Linked DNA regions of Ovis aries. The protein of the gene in region 1 purifies or fractionates together with the protein of each later gene. This does not show direct contact. Links are inferred from orthologs where the notes say so. Each region holds a gene or a part of one and is shown in the gene's direction. Other genes may lie near its edges.

Region 1 (3,264 bases):
ACCAACACCTGCTCACACCTCTCACACCTGCTCACCCCCACTCACATCTCACACCAACACCTGCTCATACCTCTCACACCTGCTCACACCCCCGCCTGCTCACCCCCACTCACATCTCACACCCCCACCAGCTCACGCCCCCACCAGCTCGCACCCCCGCCTGCTCGCGCCCCGTACATGTGAAGAGGCTTTCGAGGACTGAGGCAGCATGCTTCCTGCACATGTGGTTCTGTGCTTTTGGCCCTCTGTGGGACCCACAAGCTCCAGGCCCTGGCCCGTGCTGGCAGCGTGGCTGACAGACCCAGGAAGGTGGTCCCTAGGCTTGCTAGGTGTCTCTCCTCAAGCCCGCTTCCACCCTGTTGTCAGCGCACCCCTCCTCTGCAGGCTACACGCAGCCAGCTGGACCTCTGTCCCTGAGACGGGGCTCCCCGATTCTGCCCTTCTCCAGCCAGGGCCCTGCCCCAGGGCCTGCTGCCTCCTGGCCCTGCCTTTTGAGGGCTCTGGTGCCAGCCCTGACCCAAGACCCAGCCTGCTAGTTGCTGCTAGTTCCCAGGCAGACCTGACCCTGGGCCAGGGTGGAGCACATGGGGGTCCTTGCTTCCTCCCATGAGTCTGGCCCTTTAAAGCTGCCCTCGAGTCCTGGGTCATGGTGGGTCCTCTGCAGCCTGACGCTGCCTGGCCACTGATGCCCAGGGCCGAGAGTGAGGTGGGCAGCCCTGCAGGTGGGTCCCTGAATGGCGAGGTCCCCTAGGGCACCCAGGCAGGGGAAGGCCTGGCCACAGGCTTGTCTTCTGGGTGGGGAGCCGTGTCTGGGTCCAGGTGTGCCGGGCAGTGGGAGCAAGGCCCGTAACCCACCCCCCGCCTCCTGCAGCTCAGCCCGCCCTTCAAGCCTCAGGTCACGTCTGAGACGGACACCAGGTATTTTGATGAGGAGTTCACAGCCCAGATGATCACCATTACGCCACCTGACCAAGGTGAGGGTGGCCCTCCCCGCCGACCCCTCAAGACAACAGAATTCTGTTCAGCATTTTACTGGGCGGCTCCCTCTCCTGTTAGGGGAGAAGGCACTGGCACCCTACTCCAGTACTCTTGGCTGGAAAATCCCATGGACGGAGAAGCCTGGCGGGCTGCAGTCCATGGCGTCGCTAAGTCAGACACGACTGAGCGACTTCCCTTTCCACTTGCCCTCTGCAGGGTGGGCGCCAGGGCCGCAGTCCCCTGGTCCCAGCATTGTGGGGGCGGGGGTCGCTGAAGCTTGCTGTGGAGTCTGGGGGGGAGCCCTCGGGGCCTGCCCCGGTCTCCGCAGTGCCTGGGAGCTGAGCCGCCCCTCCTGTCCGCAGACGACGGCATGGAGGGGGAGGACAGCGAGCGGAGGCCGCACTTCCCCCAGTTTTCCTACTCGGCCAGCGGCACGGCCTGAGGGGCCTGCTGGGCCGAGCTCAGGACACCGCCGCGGGCAGCCACGTGCTCCGGACGACGCGTCCCGAGGACTGGGAGGAAGCCTTGCACGGAGGATCTGTATTTAATGTTTTTTTATTTCTGGATGCGTTTGGGTGGAACCACGCCGTCCGCTAACACGGATGGGGAGGCGCCCCATGCCATGGGCAGGGCCGCCCGCACTGGGGGCAGAGTGCCCCTGGCCAGCCAGCTCGGGAGGAAGACGTCCTGCGGTTTCTCTTAATTTATTCATCCAGTTCTCCAGACGCTGCCTCCGCCTTTGGAACGATTAGATTCCTGTAGGAAAGCAAGGACTTCTGCAGCCACGGGCTCACCGGTCCCCGTGGGCCCTGCCCGTGGCCCCTCTGTCCGTCCGTCCGGCCAGCTGTCCCCAGCTGCCCCCACCTCCCCCGACCCCACAGCCCCAGAGGCCATCTGGCTGTGGGGTGCTGGCCCAGCCCCCTCGCTCGGGAAGGGGCTGAGCAGAGGCTGCAGGAGGGCGGCCCCCACGATCAGGCTGGGCCAGGGCTGCGGTGAGATAGAGGGGTCGGGTGCCACCTGTCGCTGTCTGTGTGTACTGGGGTTTCTGATCTCAGGAGAAAGCCCTCCCTGCGCCCCTTTCCCACTGGGACCGGCTCCCCGATGGCTCCCCCGGTAGCACGTGTCCTTCTAGAAGCTTCACTCCCGCTGTCGCCCGGGCGCTGCCCGGCGCCCTATGCAGGGGCCATCGCTGTGCCCTGTGTGCCTCCTGGCCAGACGCTGCGCTGCACCAAGGCGTTTTTTTATACTCAACTTTAGTATTTTTACTATTATGAAACTTTCCCTCCAAATTCTTCAATAAAAATTGCTTTTCAACTCTGGCTCGCCTTGCTGGGTGGCGGATGGAGGTGCATGTGGCTGACCTCCCGACAGGGCACACGTGGCCTTCCGGAGCCCGAGGCGGCCTGCCTGGAAGCCCGGGGACAACCTGAGATGGGGTCCCTCACCCGCCTCTGGCAGGATTCGCTGGGGAGTCGGAGGGAACGCCCTGGCTGCCCCTGTGCCCACGGCTTCACCCCAGCCCCACACCTTAAGCAGGCCACCCAGGCTGCACAGCTGTCTGCCCAGCAGCACCATCCATGCAGCAGGCCTGACCACCAGGATGGACCGGGACCCTGCAGGGCCCACTGCTGGCTAGGACAGACACTCCAGCCACCGGCAGGCCCTGGGACCTGAGAGGACCAGAGGGCAGCCTGCCAGGGGTCACGCAGCAAGCCCGGGACAGCTGGGAGGGGCCCAGCGGGATGGGCCTCGGGCGCCACCTGGTGGGTGCAGAGAGACGTTGCCGCGCAGCGCCGGCCTCCGGGCGGGCCATCAGCACCTGCAGGGAGGGGCGGGGCCTTGCCCTCCCCTCTAGTGGACTCCGCCGTCTCTTCTCCAGGCTCCGGGGCAGGGGACCCTGACAAGGCATTCCTTGGAGTGGGGTGGCTGCCCGCTTCTGCTGGACGGGGTGCCTGAGCAGTGTGGGGTGCTGGAGGTCTGTCCAGGCCTGGGGGTGCCTCTGGAGCCGCCCAGTTCACTCTAGTATACAGCAGCTCTCTTGGAGACCAGACACGCCAAATGCTGCCTGCTGAGCGTGCTCTAGACCCATTTCAGAAACACACAGGCGGCTTCAGACTGGAAGCCTGTGCACTGTCGGTGGGAGCGCACCATGGCACGGCCCGTGGATAATGGTACGGAGGCGCCTCAAAGCAGAGCTGGGGCCACCACGGTGCCCGGCAGCCCCACTCCTGCACGCACGCATGTGCCCCAGAGAGGGGAAGGCAGGGTCGGGGAGGCGTGCATTTC
Region 2 (5,236 bases), on another chromosome or scaffold:
AATAGGAAATACAATTATTTTTCTGGATGAGCAGACTGAATAATAGCTTAAAGCTACAGAATCCAAGTAGAAAGCCTTTTAAGAGTCTTTCTAGTTTTATAATTTGACTGAACTGCCTCTCCACACAACTGAATAGTCAACTTGTTTTTGTTTGTTTTTTAATCAGTTGAACCCAGGAAGAATTCCTTGCTCCTCTCTGATAATATAATAGCCTCTTGAGAACCCTTTACAAAAATACAGTTTAGAAGCATGGAACATACAAAAAAGGAAACCATTTAACTTGATAATACCCCACCCAGGTAATTCAGATACCTAAGATAATTTTTCATTGGAATTATTTAGCTTGGCCAAAACGCCAAACTTCAGTTACACCGTATAATTACTCTTCTTTCTTACACTTTTTTTCCATTTGTCACTTACTCCTGATTCTCATCAATTGTCACTAACTTTCTTTTCCTTCACTTACAATCTAATCACAGTTCAACCAAGAATGTCACTTACTGTGAAAGTCTTCTTAATTCAGAGTCAGGTTGCATGCCACTGTGCTGATAGAGTAGACAAGAAATGTCCAAGGCCAGAGTTGTGCTGCTGAGATCTGTACCATGCCGATGCCAGGTACTTTCAAGCAGCTGGCAACCAGTAACACTGTAGGAACTGACTCCAAACTACCTTTCAGAAACTAAAGATCTCATATACAGAGTGACTCGCTGATAAACAATTTAAGGGGAGAGCCCTTACTCAAAGTTATTGAAAGCTATGAATAATCCCATGAAACTACATTGCAAGTCTACTTGGGAAAACTTTTTAAATTTGATTTTTCCTTTAAGAGATTCTGGGAAAATCTCGTATTTTAAAGTAACTTCCATTCCAGTTACTGTATTTGGATTTGTTCCACCGTACCTGGATTCATTCCAATTTATCTGTGGAACTGGGCAACTAATAGTCTTTATTCGGCATTTCTTATATTTCTTGAATGAAAATGGGATGGACTAGTGGGATTAATGGCTAGGTATTTACAAGACACTAGTAATTCTGCCATTTTCTCTGTATAAAGATTCTTCCATGAAGAATCTGGACACAAAGATGGACAAAAGAGGCAGGAGTTCTAATCCAGATCAAGTTCTAGAAGTACAGCTCACCTTATCTCTCTTATTAAAAAAAAGTTAGATGCTGAAGAAGCTATTTAAATATTCTTCCAAAACTTTAACAGAAATGCTAAAATCAGTTACTAACATAATAAATCAGTGTACCCTGACTTTAAAAAGATATTTTCACTTATGATTAATAAGAAATATGGAAGTCTGAATTGCGGCATGTCAGTCTCTCAAGGACAGCTAAGAACTGATGAATTGGCAGCAAAGTCGGGTTTTTCAATGCATATATTGATACCCAAGTGCTCAGAAAAAATTCTTTTCGAGTCTACTATCCACGAATTTACCAGAAAGCCAAGTTAACAACACAGCTAATCTCGCAGATATCTGAGTTAGCCAGCACCATTTTGCTGGAGAGGGGAGACTGGACACTGCGGGCAGTTGAGAAGGTTATAATCTTTGGAAACTAAAGGCGCCTGCAGAGAGGCCTCTTTCGTGGTCTCTGACGAAAAACGTTGAGGGAGAAGTAAAACAGCCCCAATTTCCCCAGAACGGTCCTCACTCGAAGCTCTGGTTCCAGGAGACGCACGCTTTGCTGAGGTAAGACGGTCCCCTACGATTTATAGCCAATCGCTCGCGAAGGGTAGGTGTCGAGGTGCGCAAAGAAGGCCGCCTCAGCCGCCTTCGCCTCCTCCAAGTCCCTGCATCTCAGCGGAGCCGGGAGCAGCGAAGGAACCTCCGGGCTAGCCCCGCTGCGCTGACGGGCGTCGTCGTGAGCCAATGAGCGGGCAGGGAGGCGGAGCAGGCAGGCCGGCGGGGCGGGATTTCCCGCGCCATCGCGCGGCCGCTCGGCGCCCGGCGAGGGCGGTGGAGCCAGCGAGAGAGGGCGGGTCGGGGTCAGCTGCTGCAGGCGGGCGGGTGCGGGGAGCTGTGGGCGGCCGCCTCGTCTCTTGCCGCCGCCCTCCGTTTGCCACGATGCCGGGGATCGACAAGCTGCCCATCGAGGAGACGCTGGAGGACAGCCCACAGGTTAGGCGGCGGGAGGCGAGGGAAGGAGCGGGGCTGGCAGATTCCAGGCCTGGCCCCGCCGCGGCCGCAGGTGCCCGCCCTGGCCCAGGTGGGCGCCGCCCCCCAGTATCCCTGCCGGTCGCGGGCGGCGCCCGGAGCTGCCGAGGCCGGGCCGCCCTCCCGAGGCCCGCGTGGGCCTGCGTCGCTGGGCCGAGAGCCGCGCTCGGGGTCTGGGAGTCGGCGGGCGGCGACCAAACCGCCGCCGCCGTGGCTGATGGGCCCGGCGGTCGCTACGCGCCCGGGGCTCCCTGGTATTTGACAAAAGATGCTTTTTAATTGCCGTGATGTGAGGTGATAAATCCAGATCCTGGAATTTTCTTTTCGAAAACCTCTTCGGAGGAAATGCAGGAGGAAAAACGACCCTGTAGACTTAATGATTTCTGATCAAGCTAGGGAAGGAAATGGACAATTTTGAGGGAAAAATACTGAAAGTCTGTTGATTAGCCCGCGCGGAAAGCCGTCGGCGAAGCCCGTCACGGATCCCGGAGCCTCCCGGCCGAGCGTCGTGACCCTGAGTGCAGCCGCTGTCACTCGGGCCGTGCATGCCGAGAGGTGGACGGCGCCTTTGCGGCTCCACGACTGCTGCGCCCGGGTTGCAGACTTGGCTCTAGTAAACTCATCAAAATAAAAGCCCCATGTTTTGTGCATTGGGGATGATGCTGGTGTGGTTGCTCTAGCTTAAGATAGTCTCTTCCTTAAGATAGGAAGACGTAACAGGGACTTATGTTTTCAGTGCTGAAGAATGAAATCAGCTATGTTAAAAAAAAAACATGCTAGTAGGGGCTGAAACTTGGGCTGAGAAACTTCATCCCTGGGCCTGTCTTCTTACACAATAAGGGATTCGAGACGAAGTTGCTCTTGGGCTACCACTTAGAATGAAGACAGTTTTCTGAAATGTTCATTTAGAACTACAGTTGCAGATATTTCCTGTGTCTTAATGGTTTAAATGACTCCAGAAGAACAGGAGGGAGAGGCTAGATCCCACTTTCCTGTATGACTTGTCTGCCATGGATATGGTGCTAGTTTTGACTGCCAGGTTGGAGTTGGGCTCTGATTGTAGAATTGATTGGGCTTTTTTTTACGCTGAAAGTTATCTTCACAGGCCCGATCCCTGCTGGTAATGTACTCTTATCAGCCTATACTGACACAAAGAGAGACCGACTTGGCTTATTTTGACTGCCAGAATAATAGCCAGTTCAAATATTTAATGACTTCCGTAGTATAAAGTTATAAGCTACATTTGTTTCAGATGTTTAGCAAAAATTTTGTGGGATGCATTGGTCAGGTACACTTTGTCGTTTTACTTTTTTATAAGACTCAACAGGCTGCCTTACCTTTCTTCTCTTCCCTGGCCTGGCTTTTATAGCTGCTCATAAAGACTGCCCAGAATGGGTTTCACAGTGCCCTTAGCCATGACTTATGAGGAGGGTATAATGTTAACTTATCTAATTTCTTGATTTTTTCACACAGTAAGTTTACAACTTGAGCATTAGGTTTTTGTATTTTTTTTCTGTTTTTTACAAGCATGTGCCATATTAGTATTAATTTTTAATGAAAGAGCCACATTGATAGTCTTTCAATTTCTAGAAGTAATAAATCTGAACTAGTTAATATTTATTTGGGAAAGTTAATTGGGACAACTGGGATTTAGAAAGGGAAAACACTGGGAAGCGATTCTAGGAGAAAACTTGTGGCAAGAATGAAAGCCCTGGATTTGGGATTTAGGATATAGTCTTTACTGCCAGTTGGTACCTTCTACTTTATGGCAAGTCACTTAACTCTCTAAATTTCAGCTGTTATAGATAGTGAAATTTTAGTCTTTGTACTTGATTATAAAAATAATAGTTGTTTGCTTCAGAAAAATTAAAGGTACAGAAAGCACAATTACCTGTCCAGCACTCGGGAGTAAACTCTGTTAATGCTTTGCTTTCTTTTTTGTGGGTTTTTTTCCTTTCTCTTACACCTTTTAATGTGATTGAGATTATATTGTGTATAATGATTTTTATTTGGCTCTAACTACACATGATAACTTAAGTATCTTCACACATTATCACATACTGAATAAACAACTCAAAGGTCGTGTGTTTCCTTGACTGGCTTAATATGGTTGTCCTGTTGTACTTTTGTAGTTTATATAGAGAGCTCAGATTAATGCTTTGGGATATAAATTTTTGTTCTTCTCTAGACTGTTTATCTAGCATCAGTTCAGGTCAGTCGCTCAGTCATGTCCAACTCTTTACGACCCCATGGACTACAGCATGCCAGGCCTCCCTGCCCATTGCCAACTCCCAGAGTTTACTCATATTCCTGTCTATTGAGTCAGTGATGCCATCCAACCATCTCATCTTCTGTCATCCCCTTCTCCTCCCGCTTTCAATCTTTCCCAGCATCAGGATCTTTTCAAGTGAGTCAGCTCTTCACATCAGGTGGCCAAAGTATTGGAGTTTCAGCTTCAACATCGATCCTTCCAATGAACACCCAGGACTGACCTCCTTTAGGATGGACTGGTTGGATTTCCTTGCAGTCCAAGGGACTCTCAAGAGTCTTCTCCAACACCACAGTTCAAAACCATCAGTTCTTCGGCGCTCAGTTTTCTTTATAGTCCAACTCTCACATCTATACATGACACTGGAAAAACCGTAGCCTTGTTGGCAAAGTAATGTCTCTGCTTTTGAATATGCTGTCTAGATTGGTCATAACTTTCCTTCCAAGGAGTAAGCGTCTTTTAATTTCATGGCTGAAGTCACCATCTGCAGTGATTTTGGAGCCCCCCAAAATAAAGTTTTCCACTGTTTCCCCATCTATTTGTCATGAAGTGATGGGACCAGATGCCATGATCTTAGTTTTCTGAATGTTGAGCTTTAAGCCAACTTTTTCACTCTCCTCTTTCACTTTCATCAAGAGGCTCTTTAGAAAAAAAAAAAAAAGAGGCTCTTTAGTTCTTCTTCACTTTCTGCCATAAGGGTGGTGTCATCTGCGTATCTGAGGTTATTGATATTTCTCCCAGCAATCTTGATTCCAGCTTGTGCTTCATCTAGCCCAGTGTTTCCCTTGATGTACTCTGCATATAAGTTAAA
Region 3 (5,039 bases), on another chromosome or scaffold:
CAGAATGGTAAATTATTTTGCTAAATTTCATACTAAGACAATTTCACAGGAATAATTTAGGAGGACCTTTTGCATTAGTATTCTCACTTCGTTCTGACCAGAAATAAGAGTTCTGCGGAAGTTAGCTTGCCTAGGCTCCTACGGCTGTTAGAGACAAACTGAAACTGTTTAATCGTGAATTCTGAACTCTCTTCACTACCACAAAATAACTACTTTCACTGTGATTGTGCCTTCAAACATAAACATTTTAACTGGGTAGACGAGTTTTACAGAAATTTATGTTCTTTTATTTAGAAGATGAGAAATGTGTGTTGAATCCAGTGTGAATTAACACCTTGCTATCATCTAACCAAGTGCCTCATAGGTAAACAGCTCTCTTGCCAATTCAGGAGACGCAGGAGAAACGAGTTCGATCCCTGGGTCGGAAAGATTCCGCGGAGAAGGAAATGGCAACCAGCTCCAGTATTCTTGCCTGGGAAATCCCATGGACAGAGGAGCCAGGCGGGCTGCAGTCCATGGGGTCGCAAAGAGTCGTACATGACTGAGCACATACGGAGCCTGATATCCCATGTCCTTTAATCATGGTGCTTACCACACTAGTGGTTATACACTTCTCACCAAATTGCAAGATCCTGGAGGACAGTGAGGTAAGGTGAAGGTGAAGTCGCTCAGTCGTGTCCTCTTTGCGACCCCATAGATTGTAGCCTACCAGGCTCCTCCGTCCATGGGATTTTCCAGGCAAGAGTACTGGAGTGGGTTGCCATTTCCTTCTCCAGAGGATCTTCCCAACCCAAGGATCGAACCCGGGTCTCCCACATTGTAGGCAGACGCTTTACCGCCTGAGCCACCAGTGAGCTAATCCTTCATCCTAGCTCCTTTGGTGGACATTTAATATCGCTCAAGTTGAATTAATCCCTGAGAAGAAACATGCCACTCAGATTTGAGCTCATCCATTTTTTTCCCATCACCCTCCCTACTTTTATTTTAATCCCGAGGTTCTTGAAAGATTGCAATGGTCAACCACCTCTCAGTGAAATCAGCGAGTTGAAAAAACACTGACTTCATCAAAGTGCCTATCAGGTATCTCACCCCACAGTTCGCCTCTTGACAAAACTGTGTTAAACGCTGCTCTAAGGCGCAGATTCCCCACATGGACGGAGACTTCCGGCATATCTGCTTCTCTATTCTTGAACATACCTTCCAAACAATTACTTTTTATACTGAAAAGTCCTTGATGCAATTTTGTTTCTTTCTAAATATTATCGTTAGAAAGCTCCCAAGGAAATAGCAGGAAGGCAATGCCCTCCTCCTTCCCGAGATATCTGGGGGAGCCGGAGCTCACTGGAGTTCATGCCAGTTGGGTCACCAGGGACCAGCTGTTAGATAGCAGATCAGGGTGCCGCATTTCTCCCCGTTTTCGCTGAGCTAAGCAGTCCTGTCTTCCCAAGAGCTACCGCAGCGGGGAGCTTTCAGGGCGTGCCCTCACTCCACCTTCCAAAGCCTGGCACACCAGGGTTCCCAATTCCTGTACCCTGCTAAAACTACTCTCTTTTGATACCAGAAGAGTCAGGCATAGAGGAAGGAACCCTAGCGCCAGGCCGTTTTTCAGTCAAAACACCTAAACCAAAACCCCCAGACCCAGTACCCACCCATTCGTCCTTTCATTTTGCAGCGTGGACAACAATAGAGAACTACAACTCCCAGGCAGGACTGCGCTCGTCCAGCAAGGACCAATGGACTTGTGATACAGGACCGGCACGGACTAATCAGGGCCAGCCTAGTGAGGCTTTGTCTCTCCACCGCGGCGCGCGGAGAGTTCTCCCGCCTCCCGGCCCCCGCGCACGCGCGCCCCGCCCTGCCCGCCTTTCCTCCCGCGCCCTCCCCTCTCCTTTCTCCCTCTCAGAACCTTCCTGCCGCCGCGTTCGGACCTCGCTGCTTCAGCCTCCGGGTCCCGTTCCATCTTTTCACCCTGCGACCAGCAGCAGAGAAAAACTAATTCCGTATTATTTTTTTGCCCCGTACATACTTTGAGGCGAGCAAAAAGATTAGAATAAATTTTAACAATGAGGGAAATCGTGCACATCCAGGCCGGTCAGTGTGGCAATCAGATCGGTGCCAAGGTAAGGATTTTTAACCTCTTTTGACTGTATTTATTTTTAAGGAAAAAAAAAACAAATCCAAACAGGTATATTATGACGGATGGTTGTAGAACGTTTGCATCTTCCATTCTTAGTCCAGATTTGCCCCTCAAAACTTTTATATATAAATGCACCTTTGAACCTTAGGATTTGCTTTTGAAAAATGAGGAATTATTTTTCTTGGCAGGCTTATTTTGGGGAAGCTGTTAAAAGCACCCTTCAGGGTTAGGGGGCGGGAAAACCGAGTTTCTGTAAAATTTTACTTAGAAAGGGGATCTCCTAACGGTCCGAGGACCGGGGAGCGAGGGAGATGCGGAAACGGCCCGAGACAAAAGCTGGATGAGGTTTTCCCCATGTGCATCCCCCTTGGCGGGGCTTCGTGGGGCTAACCCAGAGGGGGGAAGGGGCGAGGATGGCGGGCAGCTGCCGAGAGGTCAGATCCAAATGTAGGGGCGCGCTGAGCCAGGTGGGCTGGGCGATATCCTTTACAAATGATCAGGAATCTCCGGGCGCTCGCGATCCCCAAGGGGCGGTCCCGCAGTTTTTCGTGCATGGAAGGCTAATATGTGCTAGACTAATTTGTTCCTTTTATTTCCCCTTAACAGACTCTTAAGGGCGTGGACAGATAGGGAGAAAGGGCGAGGAAGGAAAGGGAGTCCATTCTTTGAAGGGGTTCCTCAGAGCTAGAGAATAGGACAAAGGAAGAAAAACCTCATTTAAAGCAAGGGGGTTAAAAGCTAGCAAAGAAATGAAATTTCGAGGCCAAGGGGGAGGGTTTTTTTTTTTTTTGCGCGCGGTTACAGTGTAGCGGGGGAGGGGCAGGGAGGAAGTGCGGCTGCTACGTTGTAGCAGAAGGGCGGGACCCGGGCGCCCCTGGCGCGCTGGGACAATGCGGCCAGGCTGGCCGGCGGGGGGCGCGCGAGCCCGAGCCAAGCCCCGCCCCTGGCGCGCGGAATTCGCCCTTCGGCCCCGCCCTCGCGCGGCACCTCCCTTTGTCGGCCGCCTGGCGCGTGCGTGCGCCGCGGTCACGTGCAGGGCGGGGTGGGCTGCTGCAGTGCCTCCTTTTCTTTGCACCCCTCCCCGCCCCGTCTCTTTGTGCCCAGGGTGACTACCTCCATCTACCCACCCCGCGCAATCCCCGGACCCTTTAAGCCACACAGCATCTCACGTCCCAGGCAGTGAAAGCTGCCTTTTCCCCGAAGGTGCATGTGGCTAGGGGAAGGGTGTGGCAGGCAGAAGAAATGCTAGATCTTTGGGGAGGGCCCGCCACAGGCGAATCTGGAGCTAAAATGGCAGTAGGGGAGCATAATTGGCTGCACCCTGAGATGCTGAAGACTCTTTGCTCTTCCCTGGCAGTTCTGGGAGGTAATCAGTGATGAACATGGCATCGACCCCACCGGCACCTATCATGGGGACAGCGACCTACAACTGGACCGCATCTCCGTGTACTACAATGAAGCCACAGGTGAGGGCAAGAGCCCGGGAAGCAGGGGTCCCATCTCTCCCACTTCTTTGGGGTCTCTGCCTCCCCGGGACACCTTTTACCCCCTTTGAATGAATCTATCTACACTCACTGGAGACCTTTCTCGCTTTTCCCAGTGTCTCTGCTGCCACCTGGTGGCAGTGTCTGAAATCACACATATGGGTCCCCGGCTCTCTTGGCCCCAATTTATTTATCTCTATGTCTTCCAGTTTTCACTCTTCTACTTTATTTCTTCTAGGTGGCAAATATGTCCCTCGTGCTATCTTGGTGGATCTAGAACCCGGAACCATGGACTCTGTTCGCTCAGGTCCTTTTGGTCAGATCTTCAGACCAGACAACTTTGTTTTTGGTGAGTTAGGGAAATATCAATAGATAGTGCTAATCGAGTTATTTGGGTGCAGTGAGAGTTAGAAATGATTGTACTTGAGTTTATACAGACTTGTGTTTTTAAATCTAATGGAGAGTGGTGGTAGTAATTTAGATAGCAAATTATATAGGGGCAGATGTATCATCGGGGAGTAAGAAGGAAGATAAATCCACTGGCCTTAATCCAAAAGTTGAAAGGTAGAAATGGGGTTGTGTATCTTTCAAACTTGACTGAACAAGTTTGCCTTTTAACCCCATCACAGGTCAGTCCGGGGCAGGCAACAACTGGGCCAAGGGCCACTATACAGAGGGAGCCGAGCTGGTTGACTCGGTCCTGGATGTGGTTCGGAAGGAGGCCGAGAGCTGTGACTGCCTGCAGGGCTTCCAGCTGACCCACTCACTGGGTGGGGGTACTGGCTCCGGAATGGGCACCTTGCTCATTAGCAAGATCCGTGAAGAGTATCCTGACCGAATCATGAACACCTTCAGCGTGGTGCCCTCACCCAAAGTGTCCGACACTGTGGTTGAGCCCTACAATGCCACCCTCTCCGTCCATCAGCTGGTGGAGAACACTGATGAAACCTACTGCATTGACAACGAGGCCCTTTACGACATATGTTTCCGCACCCTCAAGCTGACCACACCAACCTACGGAGACCTGAACCACCTCGTCTCGGCCACCATGAGTGGAGTCACCACTTGCCTCCGCTTCCCTGGCCAGCTCAACGCTGACCTCCGCAAGCTGGCCGTCAACATGGTGCCCTTCCCACGCCTCCACTTCTTCATGCCTGGCTTTGCCCCTCTAACCAGCCGTGGCAGCCAGCAGTATCGAGCCCTCACTGTCCCTGAGCTCACCCAGCAGGTCTTCGATGCCAAGAACATGATGGCTGCCTGTGACCCCCGCCATGGCCGGTACCTCACCGTGGCTGCTGTGTTCCGTGGGCGGATGTCCATGAAGGAGGTAGATGAGCAGATGCTCAACGTGCAGAACAAGAACAGCAGCTACTTCGTGGAATGGATCCCCAACAACGTCAAGACAGCTGTTTGCGACA
Region 4 (4,271 bases), on another chromosome or scaffold:
CCAGTGGCTCTTTGCTAGCTTGTGTATTATCGCTTATTTCCTGGAAGCTCTGCCCATAACTAGTTTTCCAGAGGTGCAGCCGTGTAACATCACTGCTCAGGAGGTCAGAGCTGCACATTCTGTACTCTGCTTTTATAAGAGAAAAGCACATGGCAGGAAGGCAAGCTGATACCAGGTATTCTATCTTCTTAAAGAAAGCAAGTTCTAGGGTATATTTTAGGGTCATTATACATTTGGCCCAATGTAATACATCCACAGCTAGAGCATAGACTATAATTAGTTATATGGACTTTAGGAAATATTTCATTAATCAGAATTGATACAAATAAACTTTAATATCTTTTTGCTTTCATTAGAGACACTTGGGTTTATTAGAGAATGCAAATGGTTGCAAATGTTACCTCTATACAAGTGATTTTCAGTGTGAGGTTATGATTGTTTGCAAAAATATATTCACCAGGAATTTAAAAATATATTTTCCAAAAGGAAAACTGGTTTCAGTAATAATATACCTGTGGTACTTAACCACCAAGGACTGGGGACTGTTGACCTCAATTTTTCTATCTGTTGAATAAGCTGAATGAGAATTTAGTTCTAAGCTAACAGTGACCATCTTCCATGGCCTGGAATTGGTTCTACTGGGGTAGGGACTGAGGGTTAGTAAAAGGTAAGGATGGAGGCCATATGGAAGAGGAAAGTATAGAAGATAGAAATCAGATTCAGGATTGTCTTCAAATTTCCAAGGATACTTCTTTGTTCTTTGCAGCTCCCCGTCATAGTTTTCTTCTGCTGTCGTCAGGAATCAGCTTGCTTTTCTTTTTCATTGCTGTTATCTATATTTTCCACAGTTTTTTTCACCTTCCCTAATCTTTGCAGAAAAGATAGCTTATCTTTTCTGTCTCTTCCCCTACATTTGTGTCTCAGAAGTAAGCATGCTGATGTTTTTACTACTTGTAAGGAAAAGGAAATGTTCCAGAAACAAAAAGAGATCTTTCATCTGGCTGTGCCACAGGATCTCTTTTTCCCCGAGTGAGCATTTTCAGGGGGGAAAAGTTGTATATAAGTGCTACTTATATTTCAGAGGAAAATCAGATTGGCGTTATAGTGGACTCCTTATCATTAGAGCTGGGCAGAGGCAGCAGCCTGGAGTAACAAACAGGACTCTGCCTCTGGGTGGGAGGGATGAGCAAACTGAAGACAACAGGAATCAGCTGTGTTGGGTTGCTGGGTTGTGGTGTTGTAGCAAGAGCAGTATCATCCTGACCCTGAAAATCAGAAAGTAGAGGAAATTCATATGCCCTTTTGCTTTCATTCGACAGGGAGACTTTAGCACAAATGATAGAAGAAAATTTGAACTGTCTTGGCCATTTAAGCACTATTATTCATGAAGCAAATGAAAAACAGGGCAACAGTATGATGGTAAGTTTTATATGAATATGGATGTGTGTTTTAAGTGTGTTGGGTGCAAAGGGCTTAACTTTCCATGCTGGACTTATCTGGTGTTTGGGATTCAGTTGGGGAATAGAACTCAGAGCAAACAGCATTTGAGGAATGCTTAACCTCAACTCCCCATCTTCTCTTACTCATGGATATACTAGGATTATACCATCAGTAATCTTTAATAGCATTTTTGGTCAAGTTAAATGATTGGTGAGCTTTCTTTGCAGTGTGACCACTGAAATCAAATGGTCTGTACTTTTTTGCTTCTGCAGTCAGTTTTCCCCAGTAAGATGGGGCATAATTTGTACTGTACTTCAAATATAGTAACTGTTGTGTGCAAAATGAATAATGTTAATATGGTTATTAACAGAAGTGTTTTTATGAAGATTTGATTGCTATGAATTACTGATTTGTTAAAACTTGGCGAAACTACAATAAAATATTTACTGAATTAACTTTTACTATGTTTAGTCTTGATATTAATTCTTTGTTTATTCCTCTTTCATTATTTGCTTCAAATATCTGAAAACTCTTTGAAAATTTTTTTTTGTTAGTAGAAATTAAGGTAAACTAGACTCTTTAATTGTAACTTATTTGTATTTTTGGTTTTTCAACTTTTGATTATAAAATCTCCAAATAAACAGAAAACTTGCAAAAATGAACACCCATATACCTACTGCTTAGAGTCAACATCTAATGGTAACTTTTTCATGCCTGGTTTTAGAGTCTTGATTGGAGTTGGTTAACAGAATGACTTGCCACTTAGTGACTCTCCTGAAACCTATGAAGTTGTTGCTGCACATGTTAGACATTTGTTTTTCTCCTATGAAGCCATTCTTCAAATACCAGTCAATGGAAGAAATGACTATGATCAGAAACTCCACATGATTTTACAGCATAATATTTTGATTCTGGGTAATTTTAACTTCTGAACAGATAGAATTTTATGAGTCGGTGGACTTAAATCCATTTGTCTTCAAACTTGGTAAAACATTACTTATTTAACTGATTCTTTCAACATTTAACTTTTGGGCATAAGGCCAAAATAATGTATACAGAGAAGAAAATCTCAACATGTATTCTAAGTAAAAAGTGTTTGCCTATGTTTCTGTGGAAGAGACTGCTTGTGTTGTACTTGTGTTGCACTTAACAGTGCTCTTCCCAGCCTCATAAGAGAGTTTAATCCCATTTTCCATTTTACTGTACATTTGATTGTATCCCTTTCCTATGAAAGGGATTGTGCATTTGTGCCTTTAATACCAATTGATTCTTCCAAATGTTAAGTGTGCTATATGTATATGTATTTAAGATGTACATTTAATAATATCAAAGAGAAGATACCTGTTAATTTATAATGTATTTGAAAGCTTATCTGTTTTCATTTGTAAAAATGGGTCTTTTCAGGAATCTTTCATGTCTTGTCATACAAATTTATAAAGATCTGCATTCTTTATCTATAATTCCAAAATCCAAAAATCTTTGAAAACAAGATTTTTCATAAAATTGATGACAAAATTCATCTGCTTGCACATCCAACAAGAATTGACAGTGAGTCTACTTATCCCATTTAGTGTGAATATTCTTTTCTTTTGCTGCAGAAATATTACTGTATTTGATTATTAGGGGGAAGGGTGCTGGCACAGACCCTGCCTGAGGTTTATGTAGTATGGTATATGCACTGAATTACCTTTCTAAAATCTGAAAATTTCATAATTCTGAAGCATCTGTCCCCAAGGGTTTCAAGACTAGATTGGGTTGCCTTCAAGATGGTATGGCCGCAGACAGGGTTTCAGATAAAGGATTGTGGATCTATTGTCTATTAAATAATTTAGAAGGTATTACTTGTTTTAAAAATGTGAAATGCTTTTGTATTCTAGACAGTTTTTCACTTTGTATATTAAACAATTTTTAAATTACTTTCTGAATCTCTATTCATTAAAACCAGACTGTAGCAGAATAATTGAATATGCTTTGAGAAAATGTGAAGGTTCCATGAAGCAAAGTTGGAGCACAGAGTAACATAACAGGCTTTTAGTGTACTTAGGAATGAAACAGACTTACGGTAAAGGCAGTATTGGGTAGCTTCTTTAATATAGTCTTTTCTCCTGAGATGGCCTGTCATCACTATCTGTTTCTAAAAACTATGCTTATACCATGTCCTAAAAACTGCTGTCTTAGTTACACCATCCCCATTTTTGCTAATAGTGTCATTTTTCCAGTCATCTCAGTTTGAGACCTTGGGATTGTCTTCGCCTAACTTTTTAGTCAACTGCTACTACTGTTTCTCTGAATATGGACATTCTGGCTACCAGCCATTAAAACTGGCTGTCTCTCTCTTGCTTCTTCCAGTTCTAGAAGGTTTTAATCAGTAAACATTTATTGGGTGCCTGTTGCTTGGAAGAAACTGAGCAAAATGGGAAGATCAGAAAAATTAACACAGGCAGTACAATAAGAGTGTTTATTTGGAATGAAATTATTGTTAAAGGCTTTTTGAAATGAGCATTTTCTAAATATCATTATAATAACTGATAAAAGACCTGGTATAGGGTGGGACTATTTTTATGGTTTGTGGCTGATACCACCTCAGGAGAGCCTGATCTGTATGATATAGGCAAGTGGTATGAGTCAGAACAGCCTATTACAGTGAGATCACCTCAGATATGCTTTTGATACATGAGTTGACCACTCTATTTGTTATTTGTTGACAGTTTTCAGAGTTGAATTTCAATTGTGGATTATATCTATTTCATTCAAGCAATACTATGAAAAACTAAAATAATTCATCCAGAAAACAGAAGTAAACGAGTTATTTTTCATTCGTTTTGCTTTTT
Region 5 (4,502 bases), on another chromosome or scaffold:
AGGAGTCATAGAAGGTTCTTTTTTTTTTTTTTTAACATTTATATATATACTTGGCTGCATTGAGTCTTAGTTGTGGCACACAAGATCTTTGTGCCGCAAGATCTTTGATTCTGTGTATTGCAGTACACAGGCTCTTTAGTTGTGACCCTGGCTTAGTTGCCCCAACTAGGATCTTAGTTCCCCAACTAGGGATCAAACCACTTTCCCCTGAGTTGGAAGGCGAATTCTTATTCACTGGACCTCTGGGGACGGCAGCCATAGAAGCTTCAGTGCAGAGAAGGCACCCGCCCTGGCTCAAGCCTACCTTAGGGGTGAGAGCGGGAGCCGGGCATCCAGTGCGTGGAGGTCAGTGTGGACCTTCTCTGGGGTTATCCCAGGTGCGACTAGAGAGCCCGGGGCCGGGGACAGGGCTAAGCTCTTCCCCAGAGTGACGGGCCATGCCCAACCCTCAGGCCCGGGTGGAGCGCATGGAGCAGTTCCAGAAAGAGAAGGAGGAACTGGACAGGGGCTGCCGCGAGTGCAAGCGCAAGGTGGCCGAGTGCCAGCGGAAGCTGAAGGAGCTGGAGGTGGCCGAGGGCGAGGGCGGCAAGGCCGAGCTGGAGCGGCTGCAGGCTGAGGCGCAGCAGCTGCGCAAGGAGGAGCGGAGCTGGGAGCAAAAGCTGGAGGAGATGCGCAAGAAGGAGAAGAGCATGCCCTGGAACGTGGACACGCTCAGCAAGGATGGCTTCAGCAAGGTTGGCGAGGCCTGGGCCTGACGGGCAGCGGGCAGGGGCAGGGAGCACTGCGCAGGTCCAGGAATGGATGGATGCTGGTGGAAAGGGGGGTAGTGCCGGAGGGGAAGAGAGCAGGTGGGGGGCCTGGCCGGTGAGGCACTCCACCAGTACCCCTCCCTCTGATCTGCCCGAAGGCCCCAGTCCGAGGCCACACCTGCCACGCCCACGCCACACTGATGTGCACGGCACCGTCACCGCCTCCGCTGTGGATGGGATGGGCGTTGCGGCCGCGGCCGGCCCGGCCACGTTCGAGGCGCCCCGCGGCCGCAGCCTCGCCCCAGCCCACTCCCCTTCTCGCCTCACCACAGAGCATGGTCAACACCAAGCCTGAGCAGGCAGAGGAGGAGTCGGAAGAGGTGAGGGAGCAGAAACACAAAACCTTCGTGGAAAAGTATGAGAAACAGATCAAACACTTCGGTGAGTTGGGCCCAGGCGTGGGCTCCAGGTGGGTGGTGCGCGTGAGGGAGGGCTGGCCCTCTGCGTCCGGGGGGGCTGGAGCACCTCACCATCACCTTCTGGCAGGCATGCTGCGCCGCTGGGACGACAGCCAGAAGTACCTGTCAGACAACGTCCACCTGGTGTGCGAGGAGACAGCCAACTACCTGGTCATCTGGTGCATTGACCTAGAGGTGGAGGAGGTGTGTGCAGACAGTGCTGAGTGGGGGGTTGGGAGGGCCCAAAAGGCTCTGCCTTTTTTTTCTCATATTTTTAAAATTCTCTTCATCATTCATGTTTGTTCAGAAAATTACAGTAGGCATGAAGGGAAAAAGAATGTATTTTTAAACACTGTCTGGAGTCTAATATAGGAAGCCATACCATTATCTCTTAGGGGGAAAAGGGCGTTAATTTTACATTGAAGTTAAATATTAAGACCAGCGTCCAAGTAAGCCACGGATAAGATTTAAGTGCAAGTTGTGTTTTCACACAGTGGGGGCTGGGGACAGGAGCCTGCCACTTGGTGACGCTGTCCTCCCTTGGCAGAAATGTGCCCTCATGGAGCAGGTGGCTCACCAGACCATCGTCATGCAGTTCATCCTGGAGCTGGCCAAGAGCCTCAAGGTGGACCCCCGTGCCTGCTTCCGGCAGTTCTTCACCAAGATCAAGGTAGGGAGGTGGTCCTCCTCAGGGATCCAGCCTGCGGGCCACTGGGGGAGGCAGACACGGATCCACTCGGACTCAAGCCTCTGTGATCAGAATCTCATCCATCAGCAGAGGATTAGTCCGTGGAGGAGCTGGGTAGTGGGTGGCTCCAGTGGAGATTTGGAAAGCTAAGCTGGCAGCACGTGCTGAAAATCCCAACCTAGGTGAGGGCCGGAGTCATGAGCGCCTGTGGGTTTCTTACCTGAACACCTGGAGAGCAGAGCTAGGGGAGATTCAGGGCAGACCGGAGGATGATTAAGGGCAGCTGTGTTGAGTTTGAGGTGCCTTCGAGACTCCACAGGAGGATGTGGAGGAGGTGGGTGCCACGAGTCTGCAGTATAAGGGGACATTCAGTCAGATGATTGTAAGTACAGGGGTATAAGGCTGAGCTCAGAGAAGACAGAGGAGGCTAGACAGAGCAGAGGAGAGGCCTGAGCCTCAGAGTACCTGTGATTTAGTTCAGGACCAGCTGTGGGGAGCCCTTGGGCGCCCTGAGGACCTGCACTGGGAGGGTCCTGGGCTCCCAAGTCTCCCCTGGTGAACACAGTCCCTCCCCTGCAGACTGCCGACCGCCAGTACATGGAGGGCTTCAATGACGAGCTGGAGGCTTTCAAAGACCGCGTGCGGGGCCGTGCCAAGCTGCGCATTGAGAAGGCCATGAAGGAATACGAGGAAGAGGAGCGCAAGAAGCGGCTTGGCCCCGGCGGCCTGGACCCTGTCGAGGTCTACGAGTCCCTTCCTGAGGTGAGGCTCCCCAGACCCTGGCAGGTGGCAGGTGGGCTGTCAGCAGGATCCCTGGGACCCAGGCCCTGACCCCGCCCCCTGCACCCACAGGAACTTCAGAAATGCTTTGACGCAAAGGATGTGCAGATGCTCCAAGACGCCATCAGCAAGATGGACCCCACCGTGAGTAACCACACACCCAAGCCCACCTGGTCAGGCAGTGTGTCTCCCCCACCTCCTCCAGCCCTGCTGACCACGTTGCTGCTGGCAGTACCCCTCCTGGGCTTCTCAAAAGAGCCAGGGAGGTTTTGTCACCATGTGGCCGGCACACAAGACAGCCAGGCTTCATGCCCCACGCTCTCTCACTTTTGTTGAGCAGCTGCTATGTGCCCAGCATCTAGATTGAGTGTCCCTGTCCCTGTGGGCTGTTTATGAGCTCACCCAGCTGACACTACCTTTGCCAGCAACTCGGAGCGGTCCGCTCCACAGTCTCAGTTACCCCATCAAACCAGTCTCTCTCAAAAAACATATTAACTCACAAAATCCGTAAGCAGGGCCAAGTATGTGGTTCGCGCTGGCAAACCTCAGCTCTTTGGAGCAATAACAGCGCTGGTGGATAAGTACCCTGAGTCTTAACGAACCTCTGTTTAAGCCGCTTCCTGCTGCTTAGCTCACTGGTTGGCCACACTGGTTCCCTTCTGTAAAATGGATCTAGTTTCTAGACCAGCTCAGGGTTTCTAAAAGCTTCTATGGGGATAAGCATGTAGACCAAGGGTCTTCAGAGAGTCTGGCTCAAAGGTTCACTGCCTGTCTGTAAATAAAATTTTGCTGGAACCGCAGCAGCCAGGCTGGGTTATTTTCATCTTGTCTGTAGCTGATTTTGTGCTGCAGCCATATTGAGGTGTGATAGAATGAGAGGTTTTGACAGGGGCTACAGGACCTTCAAGCCAAAAATATTTGCTGTCTGGCTTTTTATTTTTATTTTTTTAAGTTTGCTGACCCTTGTTCTAGACCTACACTTTTAAAATTTGAGTTGTTTGTGCTAAGTTGCTTCAGTCACGTCTGACTCTGTGACCCCATGGACTGTAGCCTGCCAAGCTCCTCTGTTCATGGGATCCTCCAGGGAATAATACTGGAGTGGGTTGCCATTTCCTCCTCCAGGGGATCTTTCCGACCTGTGAGTTGAACCGGTGTCTGATGTCTTCTGCATTGGCAGGCAGGTTCTTGACCACTTGGATTCCCAGGTGGCTCAGACAGTAAAGAATCTGCCTGCAGTGCAGGAGACCTGGGTTCCATTCCTGGGCTGGGAAAATCCCCTGGAGAAGGGAACGGCTACCCGCTCTGGTATTCTGGCCTGGAGAATTCCATGGATTATATAGTCCATGGGGTGGCAAAGAGTCACATATGACTGAGCAGCTTTCGCTTCACTTCTTTACCACTAGTTCCACCTGGGAAGTTAACTTTGAATTAAAGTTACGTAAAATTCAGGGACTTCTCTGGTGATCCAGTGGCTAAGACTCCACGCTCCCGGTACAGGGAGCCCAGGTTTGATTCCTGGTAAGGGAACTGGATCCCACATGCCACAACTAAGACTCAGCTCAGCCAAATAAATGTATTAAAAAATAAATGAAGTAAAATTTCAAGCACTGTCCTTGCCTTGCACCAATCACATTCGAAGTACTCAGTAGGCACCCACGTCTGGTAGCTGCCATGTTGGATAGCACAGATTACAGACAAAGATTACAGTTTACCCTCCTCCCAGACAGCTCTGACGTAGAAAGAGCAGAAAGCGGGCTTGGGGATGCGCAGGGGACGGGGTGCCACCACCAGGCGGCAGCCCAGCCTCACCCACCCACCCTTCTCCCC
Region 6 (4,300 bases), on another chromosome or scaffold:
ATTCTATTGTTCATCTTCTCTCCTTGATTAGTTTCAGTCTATGACAGTGTGCCCCACTCCCTTCACCCTCCACACTGCCCAGAATTGTCTTCCTAAAGGAGAAGTCTCATCATGCCACTCCACTCCTTGCCTTAAAGAGCAGATCCACTACTGGATCCACGTGTCCTCCTCCAGGGGAGGCTCCTGGCTCATTTCTTTAGCTGCTGAGCTGCTCCTGCTCAGTCATGTCCGAGTCTTTTACGATCTCATGGACTGTAGCCTGCCAGGCTCCTCTGTCCATGGGATTTTCCAGGCAAGAATACCAGAGTGGGTTGTCATTTCCTACTCCAGGGGATCTTCCCGACACAGGGATCGAACCCACATCTCCTACATTGGTAAGTGGATTCTTTACCACTCCATCACCTGGGAAGCCTCATTCCTTTACCTGCTATACAAAATCCTTCACACCCTGTTCCAGTCATCCTCTTCAGCCTTCTCTCTCCTGCCCTCTACTCCCACAAACACCTCATTATAGGATGTGCCTTGCTTTTCTCTGTCTTTGGAATACCCTTTCTTAACTTCTGCCCACACTTCAGAAAGATTATCCTCAAACGTGCCCTCCTCTGGACAGCCTGCTCTGCCTCCATCCCTCCCCAGCCAAGCTCTGGGAGTCACTTTGTCTTCTGAGTCATACCTCTATTATAGCATTCCTGGAATCATAATATCTCTTCATATGTCTCCTCAACCATACGAGGAAGGCAGGGGTGATGTTAATTCATGTCTGAGTTCCCACTGCCTAGTATAGTGATTAGCACAAAATAGACATGGATAGATGTATGGACGGATGTATGCATGAATGGATGTTAACTTCGATGAATGGATGGAGAAGAGTAGTAAGAGAATTTAGAAGTAACCCTGCGAAGATCAAAGAGAGACACCAGAGGGAGCTGACACACCACAATAAAGAAGTGGGAGGGAGGGCCAAAGACGGCTACAGGCTCCGGGGTGAGCGGCGCGCAATAGGCGAGCATCTCGCAACTGGAACCGCTCACCACCTGTGCATCCCCTTATCCTCCTTCCTAGACTGTGTTCGAGCTCACCCACTGCCCCCACCACCCCCGTAGCCTCCAACGCCACTGAGAAAGCAAACAAAGGGGAGGAAACCCCTGCAGGGTGCTTGATGCAGGGAGCCAATCAGAATGCTTTAATCTCCTGGAAGGCGGGCGCCTCCTTTTGAGGGGGCCCAGTTAGTTCCTAAACGGGTGCGGAGGGGCGGAGAGATGGGCGGGAGTAGCAGGGTGTAGAGACCGCGCGCGGGGAGGGATCCCTCCGCAGGGGTCGGGGTGGAGGGCGGAGGGGGCGGGCGGAGCCAATCACCGCGCGTGCCTGTAAGGAGAGGGAGGGCAGTGCCGTGGCGCGCGCAATCCGGCTGACGCATCTGGACTCCGTTCTCCAGATCCAAGTTGGGAGGGGGGAAGGAGAGGCGGGGGTAGTGGAGAGAGCGCGGGGGCGCGCGTGCGCAGTGGCGCGGGGAGGAGCAGGGACCTGGCAGCGGGCTAGGAGGCTGTGAGCTATCCGCGAACCGGGCGGGCGGCGGGCGCGCGCACCATGGGGGAGAAACCCGGGACCAGGTAAGAGAGGTGGGGCCATTCGGCGGGACGTGGACGGCGGCACCGGGCGGGTGCCGGGACGGTCCTCAGACAGGAACACCAGGGAGAAAATTCGGGGGCCGGACGCCTGGGTCCCTAGGGGACAGCCATTCGGGGCCGCACGCCTAGGTCCTCGAGGATAATGAGGGGAAGGCATGCCACAGTCCCTGCAGAAAGCGAGGGCTGAAGATCAAGAAACCTGCATCGGGCTTCTCGCAGAGATGTAGGGGGCCGGACGACTGGGTTCTCCGGTGCAGCCTGCGTTGCAGGGGCGGAGGAAGGAGCAGGTGGCCGGCCCGGAGGGGACGGGTGTGGGCAGACTAGATGCCAGGGGCGGGATCCCCCGAAGACTCGTGCCCAGCCACTTGAAAGCCTCCTATCCAGTACCCCACAGGCAGTCAGACTGCCCCCACCGGCCCCAAGGGCCGGGTGGCTCTGCTTCCAAACTTCTGCTTTCCCCCGGGTTGCTAGGAGCAACAGCTTCATTTTGGGGGAGCAAAGAGTGCTTGACGACCCTCCCCAATTCTGGGCCTTATCCCTCTTCCCGTGAGTGAGGGGAGGCTGTATCTGCCCAGGGCACGCCATCCACTCCCCGGATGTTTTCTGTGCAATCGAGGCTCCTTCCTTCCACTGACACCCCGAGTTCTCTTTTTTGGTCTCTAGCAAAATCCACTTCCTGTTGTGACCCAACACCTCCGGGGGTGAATGCCTGAGTCTCTGGGGAGCAGGAGCAAAAGAGGGAAAAGATTAGGGCTATTTGCTTCTCTCCAGAGAGGATCAGGAATGGGGGCCTGGTTCTGAGCTGTCACTTGTTCTGCAAAACATTTTACCAGCCCCACAGCTCCCCACCCATAGAATAGGAAATCACAGGTTCCCGAACACCCAGTCGATTGATACTGGAGAGGTGATCAGAAGGAGGACTGGTGTCCTGGATTAGGGGTTAAACACAGCAAAAGGGGAAGTCGCTGACTTGAGGGAGGCCCCAGATTTCCGTTATGTGGTTCAGGGAGGGGGACGGATGGACCACACAGGGACTGCTGACTTGGCACAATTCCTCCCACCTCCATCAAATTCTGGGCCACAGGAAATGGAGAGAATAGCAGGAAGTGTGAAGGGGCATCTGCTTCTGCTGCCCCCTCACCCACTCGGCACCTCTCAGGTCACCCCAAAACTCCGCCTTCTTGGCCAGCCTCACTATACACATGCTTGCTCCTCCCTAGCAGGCAGGAGGCTGGCTGGGTTAGGATCCAAAGGGCAGGTGCCCTGCAGCTGCTTCAGGGCAATTACTCCAGAACCACACTCCAGTTGTCCAACAGACTGTGGCTGTCCCAACCCTCTGCCAAGGACTCCTAATAGGAAGAAACACTGGGACAGAGAGGAAAACCAGAAGCAAAGGGGAGGGAGAGCTGAAGGCTGCCACAGCAGTCAGCCCCCAGGTGGGGACAAGAGATAGGGTGCTTATCCTAGTTCCCACCATACCAGTGTCTGCCCTCCTTTCCTCGATGGGGGTACCTGGGGGCCTCTGTACCCTATGCCTTGTGGTCTTTGGATAGCTTGGCCTTCTGGGAAGAAGGGGCATGTGACTTTGTTACAGTGGATGGGCCAGGTGGCAGGATTTCAGTTTCTACTACCTGGGGACCCTTCCTGGGTATCACTGCTGAGGCAGAGTGGATTGGTAGGAGTAAGGTGGGGCAGCAAAGAACAGGCCCACAAGTGGCCAGGGCACAGGGGTTGCCAGACATCTCCCTATCCTCCCAGCAGTGGGTGGAGTCCAGGCTTAGACCATTTCAGCAACCAGAAAGCGGAATCTCCTTCACTCCAACAAACATAATGCCAAGAACAGAGGCAGGATAGTACAATCATTTAGTGATGAAGAGCCAGAGTACCTCTGTACCCGAATTCCACCATTTACACTCTCCGTGACCTCAGGCAAAATACTTGACCTCTCCTGGGCTTCAGTTTCCTCACCTGTAAAATAGGAATATTAGGACCTCCATCACTGGGTTGCTGAGAGCATTAAATGCAGTCACACACCTGAAACACTTGGCACACTACAGGGCATGAACCATACACCCATAAATGTTAGGAAGCATCACGGCGTCTGGCTTATGGCTGCAACTATGCTGGGGATGCCTGAATCAGTAAGGCCTCTGTTGCTCACAGTCTAGTGAAATACATGATACACAGCTAACTGCACATTATCACACTACATGTGTGCTAAGTCCAGTTCTTTGTGACCCCATGGACTGCAGCCCACCTGGCTCCTCTGTCCATGGGATTCTCCAGGCAAGAATACTGGAATGGGTTGCCATGCCCTCCTCCAGGGGATCTTCCCGGCCCAGGGATCGAACCCTTGTCTCTTACATCTCCTGCATTGGCAGGCGGGTTCTTGACCACTAGCACCACTTGGGAAGCCCTATCACACTACAGGTAAAGCATAAACAAGGTGTGACAGAAACCCCAAAAAAGGGAGTGACTAGAGTGGGGCTGGATCTACTTTCTAAAGGAGGTGACATCTGAGCTGGGCCTTGAAAGACAAATAACATTTTAAGCTGCTGAGATCAGAGACAGGGACAGTTGGAGGTTAATGGAGAGTAGGGTCACACTTAGAAACCTCCCATAATAGAAACCAATTTAGAGCCACTGCTCTTTCCAGTATTCCAGCTCTTGTG
Region 7 (3,345 bases), on another chromosome or scaffold:
GGCCAAGATCAGGTGGCAGAGGTGAGTACTCAGGCCCTGAACTCTGGGATGGGTGGGAAGAAGTTTGAGCTTGAGTGGGAGACTCTGGAACCCTCAACCCATCCTGTGAGTACTGTCCTGTGTGCAACATTCACAAGGTTTGTACTGCATCTGCACTCATGCTTAGTTGGGAATGCCCTCATCACAGCCATCTCTTAATTCCAGGACCTTGTGGCGAATGGGGCCCTTGTCAGCATCTGTAACAAGTATGGAGAGATGCCTGTGGACAAAGCCAAGGCACCCCTGAGAGAGCTGCTCCGAGGTCTGTCCCCACCCACCGCTGTGTCCTCGTCTTGTCCTAGCCTGTCTCTTTCCACACAACAGCTGAGGTCAAGACTTTGTCTTTCTTCCCCAGAGCGGGCAGAGAAGATGGGCCAGAATCTGAACCGTATTCCATACAAGGACACATTCTGGAAGGGGACTACCCGCACTCGGCCCCGTGAGTCAGCTGTGAGGGGAGGGGTGGTGAGAGAATAGTCCTGGACTCCTGGGGCTGGGAAAGAGGGAAGCTGGGTGCCTGACCTGCCCACACTCTCAGGAAATGGGACTCTGAACAAACACTCCGGCATTGACTTCAAACAGCTCAACTTCCTGGCGAAGCTCAACGAGAATCACTCTGGAGAGGTAACTCCCCACCCCACCCTATTACCTGTTGTGCACCTGTTTTAAGTCTCTCCTCCAGTTAGTGGGCAAGAAAACAGTGGCCTTAGTTAAAGCCTTCTAACCCTTATCTGTCCCTCAGCTATGGAAGGGCCGCTGGCAGGGCAATGACATTGTCGTGAAGATGCTAAAGGTTCGAGACTGGAGTACAAGGAAGAGCAGGGACTTCAATGAGGAGTGTCCCCGGCTCAGGTGGGGCAAGGCCTAAACTGGAAGCCTTGATTTCAAGGAGCCCTGTCAGCACCCAGAGGGAGATCTTTTATGCTGGATCTCAGCCAGGGGCATTCTCTCCCTCTTCCAGGATTTTCTCACATCCCAATGTGCTCCCAGTGCTTGGTGCCTGTCAGTCTCCACCTGCTCCTCACCCGACCCTCATCACACACTGGATGCCATACGGATCCCTGTACAATGTGCTACATGAAGGCACCAGTGAGTAGGGAGTGCCAAATCTCACTGCAGCAGGGTGTGGGGAAGGAAAGTCTGTGAGCCTCTCCAAATGATTTAACTCTTGCCTTCTCACTTAGATTTCGTTGTGGACCAGAGCCAGGCTGTGAAGTTTGCATTGGACATGGCAAGGGGCATGGCCTTCCTACACACACTAGAGCCCCTCATCCCACGACATGCACTCAACAGCCGTAGTGTAATGGTGAGATCACAACTTCACTCCCGGCCCAAGCCCCAGAGGTCCTTTCCCTAGAATAGGACTTACCTCCTTCCACACAACTATCTTCTCTTCCTCAGATTGATGAGGACATGACTGCTCGAATCAGTATGGCCGACGTCAAGTTCTCCTTCCAGTGCCCCGGGCGCATGTATGCACCTGCCTGGGTGGCTCCTGAAGGTGAGTGATGGCATTATGATGTGAGGCAGAGAAGGGGCAGCTCAGTAGTAATGGAAGGGAACACAGACAGGACAAGCAGCTGGAACAGATAAGTCCTATCCCTCTAGCTCTGCAAAAGAAGCCTGAAGACACAAACAGACGCTCAGCAGATATGTGGAGTTTTGCAGTGCTTCTGTGGGAACTGGTGACACGGGAGGTACCCTTTGCTGACCTCTCCAACATGGAAATTGGAATGAAGGTGAGAGCATAACTGGATATACTTGTGGTGGTAGTGACAATAATTGTAGTGGGGCTGGGCTCCTGCCACATTGATTCAAATACACAGAATCCTGTCCTGAGGGCTAGACGTCTCTCCCGACATGAGACTCAAGTTCTGAGACTCACCTTGTTTTTCCTTGTGTTTGCAGGTGGCATTGGAAGGCCTTCGGCCTACCATCCCACCAGGCATTTCCCCCCACGTTTGTAAACTCATGAAGATCTGCATGAATGAAGACCCTGCTAAGCGGCCCAAGTTTGACATGATCGTGCCTATCCTGGAGAAGATGCAGGACAAGTAGAGCTGGAAAGTCCTTATCTGAACTCCAGAGGTGTCAGGACACGGTTAGGGGAGTGCACCTCCCCAAAGCAGTAGGCCTCTGGTTGCCTCCCCTGCCACTAGTCATGGTACTACCCCAGCCATGGGGCCCATCCCCTGCCCCCATCCCTACCACTGTGGCCCCAAAAGGGAATGGGCTCAAAGCTTTGTCACTTGCCACACGGTGTCTCCCAGCATGGGAGGGATCAGCCCTGCCTGTCACAATAAAGTTTATTATGAAAACAGGCTGGTGTGGGGACAAGAGAACAGACAAGTACATTTAGACTGGGTGGCTCAGGTGAAGTAGTGCGGCTTCTTCACATTGATGCCATACTCGCTGAGGGCAGGGGTCAAGTCCTCCATGGTTAGAGTGTACTTGCGGTCCTGAGGGAAGAGGGAAGAGCACCAGCTGAACACAGGAATTCCAGATTTCAATCCCAGGCAGGTGACCCTGAGTAGGTCTTTCACCTCCCCTAAGGCTTAATTTCCCTCAAAGGGGTTTCAGGATAATTTAAGCCTCTGCTGCTGTAGGAAGTAATTACTGAATCAATGAGCCTCCCCTCACACCTTGCTCTTGCTTCGGGAGCTGCCAGAGGCTGTGCCCTTCATTTTGCAGTGCTGTAGGGCATCGTTGGCAATATCTGAGATGAATTTCTGGGCAGCTAGGGAGATGAGCCGAATTCTGGAGAGAAAAAAATGGTATGAGAAGAGCATAGACAATAAACTCCACACAAACACCCAACACTCTAACCTGCCCAGAGTTTACTCACATGCGTGGGTCGGAGGCCTCAAAGCCAGCACGGTTCAGGTAGTAACCAGTCACTGCATCAGGGATCTGAGAAATCAATTAGACGACTGTAAGCGTTAGCCCTGTGTACAGCGGGGCTGAGAGTCGGGGTAAGGGAAATGGAGGGCAGGCCTGGCTATCAGGAAGCTCCCAGTTTGGGTGGGCAGAAGGGAAAAATCACAAAAGCTAGGAAGAGAAACACAAGAGGATGCTGCAAATCCAGATGGTGTGGCAGAAGTTGGCGTGACAGCGAGTCATTAGCCTTGTTCAGGCAGGAAGCCCACCGTAGGCGTGTAATCCTCCAGCTGCATCAGGAAGTCCACTAGAGGCGTGCTGGACACCACTGGCTTCACCTCTCCGTTGGCCGCGCTTGGCAGCACGTAAACCCCGTTAGACATGGCCCCCTCCGGGGGCGCCGCGCCGCCGGTCGTCACTGGAGCTGGA

What was found.
Region 2: the proteins of AKT1 (region 1) and APPL1 purify together in Homo sapiens (affinity purification with western blotting; 3 studies listed by BioGRID, with this or other methods). This does not show direct contact. The link is inferred for Ovis aries from reciprocal best matches to the Homo sapiens genes AKT1 and APPL1.
Region 3: the proteins of AKT1 (region 1) and TUBB purify together in Homo sapiens (affinity purification with mass spectrometry, with the first as the bait; 3 studies listed by BioGRID). This does not show direct contact. The link is inferred for Ovis aries from reciprocal best matches to the Homo sapiens genes AKT1 and TUBB.
Region 4: the proteins of AKT1 (region 1) and CHUK purify together in Homo sapiens (affinity purification with western blotting; 5 studies listed by BioGRID). This does not show direct contact. The link is inferred for Ovis aries from reciprocal best matches to the Homo sapiens genes AKT1 and CHUK.
Region 5: the proteins of AKT1 (region 1) and CDC37 purify together in Homo sapiens (affinity purification with western blotting; 5 studies listed by BioGRID and IntAct, with this or other methods). This does not show direct contact. The link is inferred for Ovis aries from reciprocal best matches to the Homo sapiens genes AKT1 and CDC37.
Region 6: the proteins of AKT1 (region 1) and ARRB2 purify together in Homo sapiens (affinity purification with western blotting; 4 studies listed by BioGRID and IntAct, with this or other methods). This does not show direct contact. The link is inferred for Ovis aries from reciprocal best matches to the Homo sapiens genes AKT1 and ARRB2.
Region 7: the proteins of AKT1 (region 1) and ILK purify together in Homo sapiens (affinity purification with western blotting; 3 studies listed by BioGRID). This does not show direct contact. The link is inferred for Ovis aries from reciprocal best matches to the Homo sapiens genes AKT1 and ILK.

The regions. Positions count from the first base shown.
Region 1 is NC_056071.1:66,959,259-66,962,522, reverse strand, and holds the end of AKT1 (RAC-alpha serine/threonine-protein kinase), read left to right. Parts: intron 1-871; coding exon 872-974; intron 975-1,340; coding exon 1,341-1,420; 3' UTR 1,421-2,297; downstream 2,298-3,264. UniProt on the Homo sapiens protein: AKT1 is one of 3 closely related serine/threonine-protein kinases (AKT1, AKT2 and AKT3) called the AKT kinase, and which regulate many processes including metabolism, proliferation, cell survival, growth and angiogenesis.
Region 2 is NC_056072.1:43,971,937-43,977,172, reverse strand, and holds the start of APPL1 (DCC-interacting protein 13-alpha), read left to right. Parts: upstream 1-1,931; 5' UTR 1,932-2,066; coding exon 2,067-2,120; intron 2,121-5,236. Other genes in the region: HESX1 (homeobox expressed in ES cells 1), read right to left, coding at 502-536. UniProt on the Homo sapiens protein: Multifunctional adapter protein that binds to various membrane receptors, nuclear factors and signaling proteins to regulate many processes, such as cell proliferation, immune response, endosomal trafficking and cell metabolism.
Region 3 is NC_056073.1:27,415,500-27,420,538, reverse strand, and holds the start of TUBB (tubulin beta chain), read left to right. Parts: upstream 1-1,896; 5' UTR 1,897-2,063; coding exon 2,064-2,120; intron 2,121-3,494; coding exon 3,495-3,603; intron 3,604-3,859; coding exon 3,860-3,970; intron 3,971-4,250; coding exon 4,251-5,039. UniProt on the Homo sapiens protein: Tubulin is the major constituent of microtubules, a cylinder consisting of laterally associated linear protofilaments composed of alpha- and beta-tubulin heterodimers.
Region 4 is NC_056075.1:20,875,607-20,879,877, reverse strand, and holds the end of CHUK (inhibitor of nuclear factor kappa-B kinase subunit alpha), read left to right. Parts: exon of another isoform or gene 1-1,265; intron 1,266-1,319; coding exon 1,320-1,419; intron 1,420-2,164; coding exon 2,165-2,194; 3' UTR 2,195-3,356; downstream 3,357-4,271.
Region 5 is NC_056058.1:12,781,842-12,786,343, reverse strand, and holds part of CDC37 (hsp90 co-chaperone Cdc37), read left to right. Parts: intron 1-452; coding exon 453-734; intron 735-1,081; coding exon 1,082-1,190; intron 1,191-1,295; coding exon 1,296-1,411; intron 1,412-1,754; coding exon 1,755-1,877; intron 1,878-2,474; coding exon 2,475-2,657; intron 2,658-2,747; coding exon 2,748-3,011; 3' UTR 3,012-4,502. UniProt on the Homo sapiens protein: Co-chaperone that binds to numerous kinases and promotes their interaction with the Hsp90 complex, resulting in stabilization and promotion of their activity. Inhibits HSP90AA1 ATPase activity.
Region 6 is NC_056064.1:26,521,472-26,525,771, reverse strand, and holds the start of ARRB2 (beta-arrestin-2), read left to right. Parts: upstream 1-1,500; 5' UTR 1,501-1,587; coding exon 1,588-1,610; exon of another isoform or gene 1,611-3,596; intron 3,597-4,300. UniProt on the Homo sapiens protein: Functions in regulating agonist-mediated G-protein coupled receptor (GPCR) signaling by mediating both receptor desensitization and resensitization processes.
Region 7 is NC_056068.1:46,197,347-46,200,691, reverse strand, and holds the end of ILK (integrin-linked protein kinase), read left to right. Parts: coding exon 1-21; intron 22-204; coding exon 205-301; intron 302-394; coding exon 395-478; intron 479-577; coding exon 578-663; intron 664-781; coding exon 782-891; intron 892-1,000; coding exon 1,001-1,128; intron 1,129-1,223; coding exon 1,224-1,345; intron 1,346-1,408; exon of another isoform or gene 1,409-1,440; coding exon 1,441-1,540; intron 1,541-1,647; coding exon 1,648-1,778; intron 1,779-1,947; coding exon 1,948-2,097; 3' UTR 2,098-2,360; downstream 2,361-3,345. Other genes in the region: TAF10 (transcription initiation factor TFIID subunit 10), read right to left, coding at 2,409-2,498, 2,682-2,796, 2,885-2,949, 3,186-3,340. UniProt on the Homo sapiens protein: Scaffold protein which mediates protein-protein interactions during a range of cellular events including focal adhesion assembly, cell adhesion and cell migration.